Daphnia pulex: one gene and its partner. The protein of the gene in region 1 interacts with the protein of each later gene in a biochemical or structural test. Links are inferred from orthologs where the notes say so. Each region holds a gene or a part of one and is shown on either strand. Other genes may lie near its edges.

Region 1 (4,421 bases):
CTACTGCCAAATGATCCTTTAGATTGGGAAGATTACTCACAAAGCGGGATGAGACTTCAACGAGCTGTCGCATCAATTTAACATTCAGCATGCAGGGAGGGGTAACAAACCGGACGGTCTTCAAATCCTTCTCCTGAGCTGCTTAAATGATGCTTTTGGATTCGTGAATGTGTGAAGCGACGGAGCATAATACTCGGGCGTATTTGTTAAACGTAGCATAGTTTGGCTCAGCTTCATAGAGTACATGCCACAAATTGACCATCAACTGCATTAGCTCACACATGATCCAGGGAGCAATAACTTGTTGCTGCATAGGAAGTAAATTCCAAATAGGTTTTCTGCTACTGATTTTAGCATTCTGCATCTTGGGTTTGTTAGTGGTTTTGTCGGCGGTATCTTCGTCTTCGGCTTCCATCATTTCGACCTCCTGTTCAAGTTTTGCAATAGCTTCTTCGTCGTCCTTTTCTTTCGACTCTCCCTTCTTCAGCATGTGAGTGTAGAGCGTGTCCCACATTGTCGTCACCACCGACACCATCTGACTAGCTTCATCTGCAACGGTGTCGGTCAGCAAGAGGCTGTCAAGCCACATGATAAGGCCACGATGTTGAATCAAGTCATAGGTAATGATTGAATTCTGAAGTGAAGATTGTACGACTTCAAGTATGAGCCGCTGTAAATCAAACAAAGAAAAATGTCTCGATGAAATCTCAAACTAAAATTCAATTACTAAAAAAATAACCTTATCAGTTTTGTCGGACAATAGATTGGATGGCTGCAAGGAGAGAAGGATTGGAAAGACTCTTCTTCGAGCACACACTAAATAGTCCTGACGACTTTTGATGCCATCTTGAAGAAGGCTGAGTAAAAAACTCCTTTGAAGCGACCTCTGTTCAGGTAGTTCAGTGTTATGAAGCATGACGAAAAATTCTGGAACTTGGGTAACATCCATAGCCGATTTTACCTAGAAACAATGAAAGGAATGGCGTTTAAGTTTTAAACGAGAAGGAAATTGCAATCAATTAACAGGAACATACCAGTAGAAAGTTATTGATTGCACGGTACATTGGGTGAGAAGGATCTTGAACGATGGCTGCAGCTTTGGCAAGAAATAATGCAATGATTGGACAGCTTTGGTGGTTTTAACATTTAACAGAAAATTTTGGTTTCCAGGGCATTGCTCCAGCATTAAGAGTCCACCGTTTGTAAGGATGGAACACGTTCAAAATTTCAATCCCTGTTTGAAAGTCACTTTCGTTAAAATGACGGGAGCAAATATGTGAGGTGCTCGTCAAATTACTACATGGAATTACTTCTTGCCATTTTGATAATGAAGTTTTAGGAATTGCAAACAGGGTAACCTCATTTTCTTTTTGATTTCCTTTGTAATATGTTGATTTACAACCAGGAACAGCACACCTGCCAACCATTTTTACATAAATTATGGTTAGGCTTCTTTCACGTAATACACAAAAATGGCCGCCGAAAGTATTATTTGAAACTCAACGTCTTATCACTAGATGGCTCTTTTTAAAGTTTCCACTTCACAACTTCTGACAGGCTCCGCCCTAAAACCCCCTGAAAATCGGCTTACGTTTACCCTGAAACCGGGATAGGGAAGCCAACACAGCCATGAACTGACCAGGTATCTATAGCTCTGCTTGCGGTTGAAGCGGTGGCGTCCTGAAATATTTTCTGACAAGTGGCAACGTTGCACCAGGGACGTTCACGCCTTGATATTCTCCAAGTGTCACTTCCACAACCGCTTTTTTTTGGATATTAAATATTTTTCAGCAAATTGTGCTGATACTACATTTCAAGATATTGATCGTAAGTGAATAAAGTGATTTGAGGTTCTATTCATTGACCGGTTTAAACCAAAGTCTTACTCCACTTTTATGTGTGTGTTTTCGCCCAGCGTCCTATCTATCAAAATGGCTGTCGAATAGTTTCGTTTCGCCCGCTTATCTCGTTGTGATCTGCTAATTTTGTGTAAGCCATTTCATTAATGTTATCTATTCCCTTTCATTTTAGAGTCTGACAGGAAGGAGCAATGCAGACCATCAAGTGTGTTGTTGTGGGGGATGGTGCAGTGGGTAAAACTTGTCTTCTGATTTCTTACACCACCAACAAGTTCCCGTCAGAATATGTTCCAACAGTAAGCTATCATGTGATACTCTCTCAAGATGTTATTTCTAACAGCTATTTGACATTTTTTAGGTATTTGACAATTATGCTGTCACTGTTATGATTGGAGGTGAACCTTACACTCTTGGGTTGTTTGATACAGCAGGTGTGAATTCCTTTCTACTTCATTTATATATATTTTTTTTCATTGTTACTTAACAATATTTCCTTAATTTTATGACAACAGGTCAAGAAGATTATGACAGATTAAGACCACTTAGTTATCCACAGACTGATGTGTTCTTGGTGTGTTTTTCTGTTGTCTCACCGTCGTCATTTGAAAATGTCAAAGAAAAGGTTAATATTAGTAGCTCAATCATTAAAAAACTGCAAACTAATGCACTCCTGTTTTGTAGTGGGTTCCTGAAATTACACACCACTGTCAGAAGACACCTTTCTTGTTAGTTGGAACGCAGATCGATCTGCGAGACGACGCGGCAACTGTAGAGAAGTTGGCAAAAAATAAGCAAAGAGTGATCACTATCGACCAGGGAGAGAAGCTAGCTCGCGAACTGAAAGCAGTGAAATACGTGGAGTGCTCTGCCCTCACTCAGGTAAGTCGAGCAAATTCTGTTTCTCCATAGTCGCAAATAGGTAACATGGTTGTTGGATTATGTCTCTCGCAGAAAGGGTTGAAGAACGTCTTTGACGAAGCCATTTTGGCAGCACTGGAACCTCCTGAGCCTATCAAAAAGAGGAGGTGTAATATTCTGTGAGCAAGACAAATTGACAGCAAAACAGGCAAAATAAAATTTCCTTTATATAAAATAAGGAGAGCTAAAAAAAAACACTCTTAAATGACACCTTGCTACTAACCAATGGAATTATTCAACGAGAAGATGGAAAAGCAAAATACTGATGATACGTTCTTTTTGCCAGTTCTTGCATTAACCAGTTTCAACGTGTCATTATCGTTTCGATTATTTTGTGTGTGCGTGCGCGTGTTTCGCAGGCCATTTGCCGCGCTCTTCCAATCTTCTTTTCATTCATCCTCTACCTTCTCGATCTAGGAAATAACACATACCTGTTCTGTTGCTCTCCTTCCTTTCTCCTCTCTTTCTTTGTTCATAAAAAAAGAAGTAAGCATAACAAAAGAACTTTGGCCTCATCATTGTAATCCTCATCGCAAAACTTGTCTGTATGGCATAGGAGAGAATATACAATAAAATTTTCTCTTATACCTTGCAGTTATTAATGCTGGTCAGTTCAGAATTGTCGCTACATTGGACGATTGCGTCGTCGCAATGTTATGGCTAATCTGCTACTATTTTTATTAATATAAGTAAAACATTTGATTGAATTTGACTTTTGACGCTTAGGATCGCTGGAACAGATGTGAAAGTAAGATTGCGTATGGCACTTGCGCATATCATACATTGATAAATAGTTTTGCCGGTTGGTTAGCAACTCATTTGCTCATTGACGTCATTTATTTGTGTATCAGCAGTTTTTAATCTACTACAAACGAAAAACGAGTTCAATTTTAAAAGTCCTGGTTGGTATGAACTAATATAGAACTTTATCACATGTTTTTGATAAGCTGTCGTTCAGCGACAGCGAAATGAATTTTTTTTTAACTACTCTCCCCAAAGGTTTTTATTTTTACTGTATATTACAACTTAAGTAAATTTTTTTCAATAACCGGCTGAATTTTTATGCAAATTCTTCTCGGAATTTATAAAGACATCGGAAAATCCGTTGAAAATAATTGTGATTTATATTTATTTAGCAACAATTTTTAGCAACAAAAGATATGATCATCATCAATCAAGGCAAGCATAAAAATTTAGATTATAAATCCGTGATTTTAACCAAATATATTAATTTTACTTTTTTCATAGAATTTGATACGTATTAAGCAGCAAGCTTATTTTTAATTTAAACATTCGAATATGTTGGAGTAGTAATCCTCTTCAAAGAATACGCTGGAGAAATGCATAGAACTCATCGGCCCCAAACAACCATCGTAATTGCTTGGTAGACAAGAGGGATCAACGTGGTGATGCAATGTTTTGAAGCACGAACCATGGAAAAACAGCTTCGGGATAAAATCAAATAACTGACATTAGATGCATAGTCTACAACAGTGAAAGGTGATAACTACAAGTGCATACAAAAACAACTAACCCGATTACGAATTTTGTTTGATAAGAAAGGCCATATCATAGCCACAAGAATCTTCATGATCCGAGGTTCATTAACGATATGAATTCCTTTCAAACGAATGGGAAACACGT
Region 2 (4,231 bases), on another chromosome or scaffold:
ATGGATAGTCCCTCCTTTTCCAACCGCCAACCACCACCGACCGTTGTATTTATTGTTGTTGTTGTTGTTGGTGTTTTCTCTCTCTCTTACGACATTACGTCTTCTCACATTACCTTGGTTGATTCTCGGGTTTCCGGAACTCATCCGGCTACTACTTGTACTTGTCGTATTTTAATTTTATTTCAAAAAGGAAAAAGAGGCCGATCCTTGTTATTATTATCAAGTTTTTTTCGTTTAGATGGACAGAATGGAAAGCGAGAGAGAGAGAATTTTTCTATTTGGCGTTTTCTATACCGGATGCGTTGATATTTTTCCTGTTTTTCATGGCCCATCACCCATTCGTTACCCCATATCCCCGCTATAGTCGGCAGCCCAGTCCGGCCATGTCGTGTTGTATTTATTTGTTCACATGTTCAAAGCTGCCAGGAGAAACGAGTCGACTCGAGTCAGAGAACTTGTCAAATCGATAACGAGTCTTTGATGACTGCGATCCGGTTGCCACTCGACGAGTAGGACGCGCCAACGGGAGAAAAAAAAAAAAAAAAAAAAAAAAACAACGCAACAACAACAACCCGCCAGGTGGCAGTTATCGGTCCGTGACCGAGCCCGAGTGAAATTTCTTTTCGGCGTGCTGCACACATAGTAGAAAACGGAATGAAAGAAATGGGAAAAAGCCAAATAATAGAAAAGAGAATCAAATAAAACAATATTAGACGATCGAGCCAGCGAGGAGGAGAGATATAGAGAGAGAAATGTTTTACTCGCTGTCCAAACCGCCTTCCTTGTGGGTTTTTTTCTTTCCATCAAAACCCCGCCCTATTGTGGAAAAAAAAAAAAGTCTTTCTCTTTCGTTCGTTCATTCTTTTTATGATTATGATGATGATTCCCCACACAGAAAAAAAGTACTGCTGCGCGGAATCAGTCACCGAGTTGACGGCTTGCGCGACGGTGGACTTTTGTGTGTGTCTCCTTCCAAACTGCATCGTTAAGTGAATCCCTTCTTAGTTGTCGCCTTTTTTTCTAAATTGTTGTTGATGTTGTTGCGGTCCCTTCCCTCTTTTGCTAATTTCCCTACAAACTCGTTTCGTTTCGTTTTTTTGTGCACCGTTCATCATCGTCTTTCAACACCTTTGAACCCGTCGCGTGCGATACCCCGAAGGTTTCTTTTCTTTTCTTCTTCTTCTTCACGACGCTGCTGGATTTTATTTTTTATATTTTTAAGACGTTTGTTTGAAAGGAGCGATTTGTGGGTTGGGCACCACTTTTTCTCTTTTTTCTTATTTTTTAAACGCAGAAAAAGGAAGAGAGAACGAAAGAGAGAGAGAAAAAGATGAATGCCAGCGCCTATATTGGACGTGAGAGTGTGTGTAAAAGATAAGGTCAAGCGCGTCTGGCTAACATTCACGCAGTCGACACCCGGTGCTAACCAGTGTCGGAACTCGTGTGCCGTAGCTCTTCTTCTCTACGAAACTGCGCGTGCCTTTCAAGTGCGCATCGAACATTTCCCACCCTAAATTTTTAAAAACAAATAACCTTGTGACAACATTTTCATTCGGGAAAAAACGAAAAAAAAAGGCGAGTTAGTGATTTTCGTGTGACGGGTGTCGATAACTCACGACAGTCGGTTCGAAAATGGTGTGAAAAAGAGATACCGATTTAGAAATGGGCAGGTAGTGTTTTTGCTTTGGTTTTTCGTGTTTGTGTCTGTGTGTTTCTTTTTCCTGTTTTCTTTTCGTCTCGAAACTTAATCTTGTTTGTTTTATCCCCGATTGGCTCACGAAAAACAAAAAAACCAAAAACAGGAGTTTCATCTTATCGAGGCCGTCTCGCCGTAAACTGAAGCAGTCGGGCATCTTGAAGGAGCGCGTTTTCGGCTGCGACCTGGGCGAACATTTGCTCAATTCGGGACGTGAGAGTAAGTCTCTTTTACTTGTTTTTTGTATTTTCAAATCATTTTTAAATAAATAATCGAGCCCATAAATGTCTCAATTTCATCATCGTGATCCGTTTTGTGCGTGTGTTGCTCTACCCCAGTTCCGATGGTGTTGAAATGCTGCGCCGAGTTCATCGAGGAGTACGGCATCGTCGACGGCATTTATCGATTGTCGGGCATCACCTCCAACATCCAAAAGCTCAGGTGAATTGCCGTCAATTGCTTTTTTTCTATCTCCCCCGACCAATTTTTTCAAATCAATCCCGCTCCGCTTCGTTTTGACTACCCCGCAATTTACCCATTTGATGGGGAGGAGCGCCTCCAGATGGATTGCGTTTTGTGTGCACAGAGGGAAATCTCGACGGTAAAGAAATGGAAAAAAACATGTCCGATAAGAAAGAAACCTGTTTCTCGACATGCTGATGACCTGATAGCGTGTGACGCAAGTTCCTTTTTTTGTCCCGCGAAAAATATTTCTCCATTTTGATTCCCCCCCTTCAATTGTGTGACATGACAGCTCCCGTTTTGCACTCTCGACTGGCTGGAAAAAAACTTTCTAAATTATTTTCTGTCCGTCATTTTTATTTTTTTTATTTTCTTTTTTGGTTATCCACTTAGAAATGCTTTTGACGAGGACAGGGTGCCGGCTCTGGTGGAGGACGAGGCCATCCGACAGGATATGCACGCCGTTTCCTCGCTGCTCAAAATGTATTTCCGCGAACTGCCCAACCCGCTGTGCACCTACCAGCTCTACGACCAGTTCGTCAACGCCGTCCAGGGACCTGATCATCTCAGAGTGGTTCGAATGCGCGAGGTAAGGAACCTGAAACCAAATCGAATAATAAGCCCCATCGATTTTTCGTTTCACCCGCATTTCAACTCATTTTTATCTCTTTGATCCGAAAATCAATTCGCCCATTGCGCAGGTGGTCCAGCAACTGCCGCCGCCTCATTTCCGCACGCTCGAGTACTTGACTCGACATTTGGCGCGGGTGGCAGAAAATAATGCCTCGACGGGCATGACGGCCAAGAATGTGGCCATTGTATGGGCGCCGAATTTGCTGCGTTGCAAAGAACTGGAATTTGGTGGCGTTGCTGCACTTCAGGTATGTGACAGAGAAAATAAACAAAAAGAGGCAAGGCTGGAACCCGGGCCGTTGGGCCTCTAACACTTTTTTGTGCATCTGGTCTTGGATGTTTTGTACGCAGGGAGTGGGCGTGCAAGCGGTAGTGACGGAATGTCTGGTACGGTACGTCGATTTGATCTTCAGCGATAAGGTGCCGGCCATCCCCGTCCAGCTCAGCAGCGACGAGCAGCCGAGCAGCGTCGGCGGCGGCGGAGCCTTGAAGAGGACCCGACCCAAATCGCTGGCCATCTCGACGCCGACTAAGCTCCTCTCGCTGGAAGAAGCTCGCAACCGGGCCCTGCAACTGGCCAGCAGTCAGAATGACACGCAGTACATTGAGGTGGGCGGTGGGCCAGCCTCGCTTCCGCCAAAGTATCACACGGTCATCGAGCTACCCAACGGTGACGCTCGCAGCAAGCGCGGCCACAGCCTCAAGCACAAGAAATCGCCGCTCGGCTGGAAATCACTTTTCGCCAAGCCCAGCAAGGGCCGCTCGCCTTCCGCCAACAAGGCCCAGCGCAAGAACTCATCTGCCAGCACCAGCTCCACCGTCAGCATGCCGGCCCAGGTGGCTGGATCTGGCGGCTCTTGCTCGTCTGCAACTCCGCAACGGGCCATGACGTACGTCCGGCCGAGATTGAGACCCGTCAAGAGCGCCGAATCTCTTGTGGCTTCCAACCGCAACTCGTCGGCCGGCGAGTCCAGCCAACTGACGAGTCCAGCCGAGGCAGTAGCCCTCATCACCGCCAAACCGGCCGATCATCAGTCAGAGCGCAGCAGCGGCCCGTCACCGCTGAGGGATGGCGAAGATTCGGCTGTGCGATTGGCCGGCGACGGCGATGACGAGTCGATTCAAGACGGGTCGCTGTCCCGCTGTCACAACCGCTCCGTCTCTCACGACTCGTACTTCCGCCTGCTCATGACCAGCCGGACGGGCAGCATGCAAGTCGATCCGCTGGACGAGGAGGGCGACGCCAGTCCAGAAGCCAGCGCACGTCAGCCAGGACAGTCCAACGACGCCATTTACGCTGAGATCTCAAAATCCGGAACCAAAAGTAAATTTCTCTCTCCTTTCCTCATTTATGATTTGATTTAAGGACGCCCACCAATCCGCCTGTCGGACGATGTTATAAAATATTTGAATGGCTAATGAAATTTCAGATTCGAAAGA

The links.
Region 2: of the proteins of cdc42 homolog (region 1) and rho GTPase-activating protein 32-like, one has a biochemical effect on the other in vitro, tested with the Homo sapiens proteins (3 studies listed by BioGRID). The link is inferred for Daphnia pulex from reciprocal best matches to the Homo sapiens genes CDC42 and ARHGAP32.

What each region holds. Positions count from the first base shown.
Region 1 is NC_060017.1:3,183,153-3,187,573, reverse strand, and holds cdc42 homolog, read left to right. Parts: upstream 1-1,672; 5' UTR 1,673-1,827; intron 1,828-2,031; 5' UTR 2,032-2,050; coding exon 2,051-2,155; intron 2,156-2,217; coding exon 2,218-2,290; intron 2,291-2,371; coding exon 2,372-2,481; intron 2,482-2,540; coding exon 2,541-2,738; intron 2,739-2,810; coding exon 2,811-2,900; 3' UTR 2,901-3,364; downstream 3,365-4,421. Other genes in the region: nucleolar pre-ribosomal-associated protein 1-like, read right to left, coding at 143-670, 740-961, 1,035-1,064; alpha-tocopherol transfer protein-like, read right to left, coding at 4,058-4,222, 4,312-4,421. UniProt on the Homo sapiens protein: Plasma membrane-associated small GTPase which cycles between an active GTP-bound and an inactive GDP-bound state. In active state binds to a variety of effector proteins to regulate cellular responses. Involved in epithelial cell polarization processes.
Region 2 is NC_060021.1:6,608,921-6,613,151, reverse strand, and holds part of rho GTPase-activating protein 32-like, read left to right. Parts: intron 1-1,802; coding exon 1,803-1,915; intron 1,916-2,034; coding exon 2,035-2,137; intron 2,138-2,551; coding exon 2,552-2,747; intron 2,748-2,859; coding exon 2,860-3,039; intron 3,040-3,142; coding exon 3,143-4,115; intron 4,116-4,221; coding exon 4,222-4,231. UniProt on the Homo sapiens protein: GTPase-activating protein (GAP) promoting GTP hydrolysis on RHOA, CDC42 and RAC1 small GTPases. May be involved in the differentiation of neuronal cells during the formation of neurite extensions.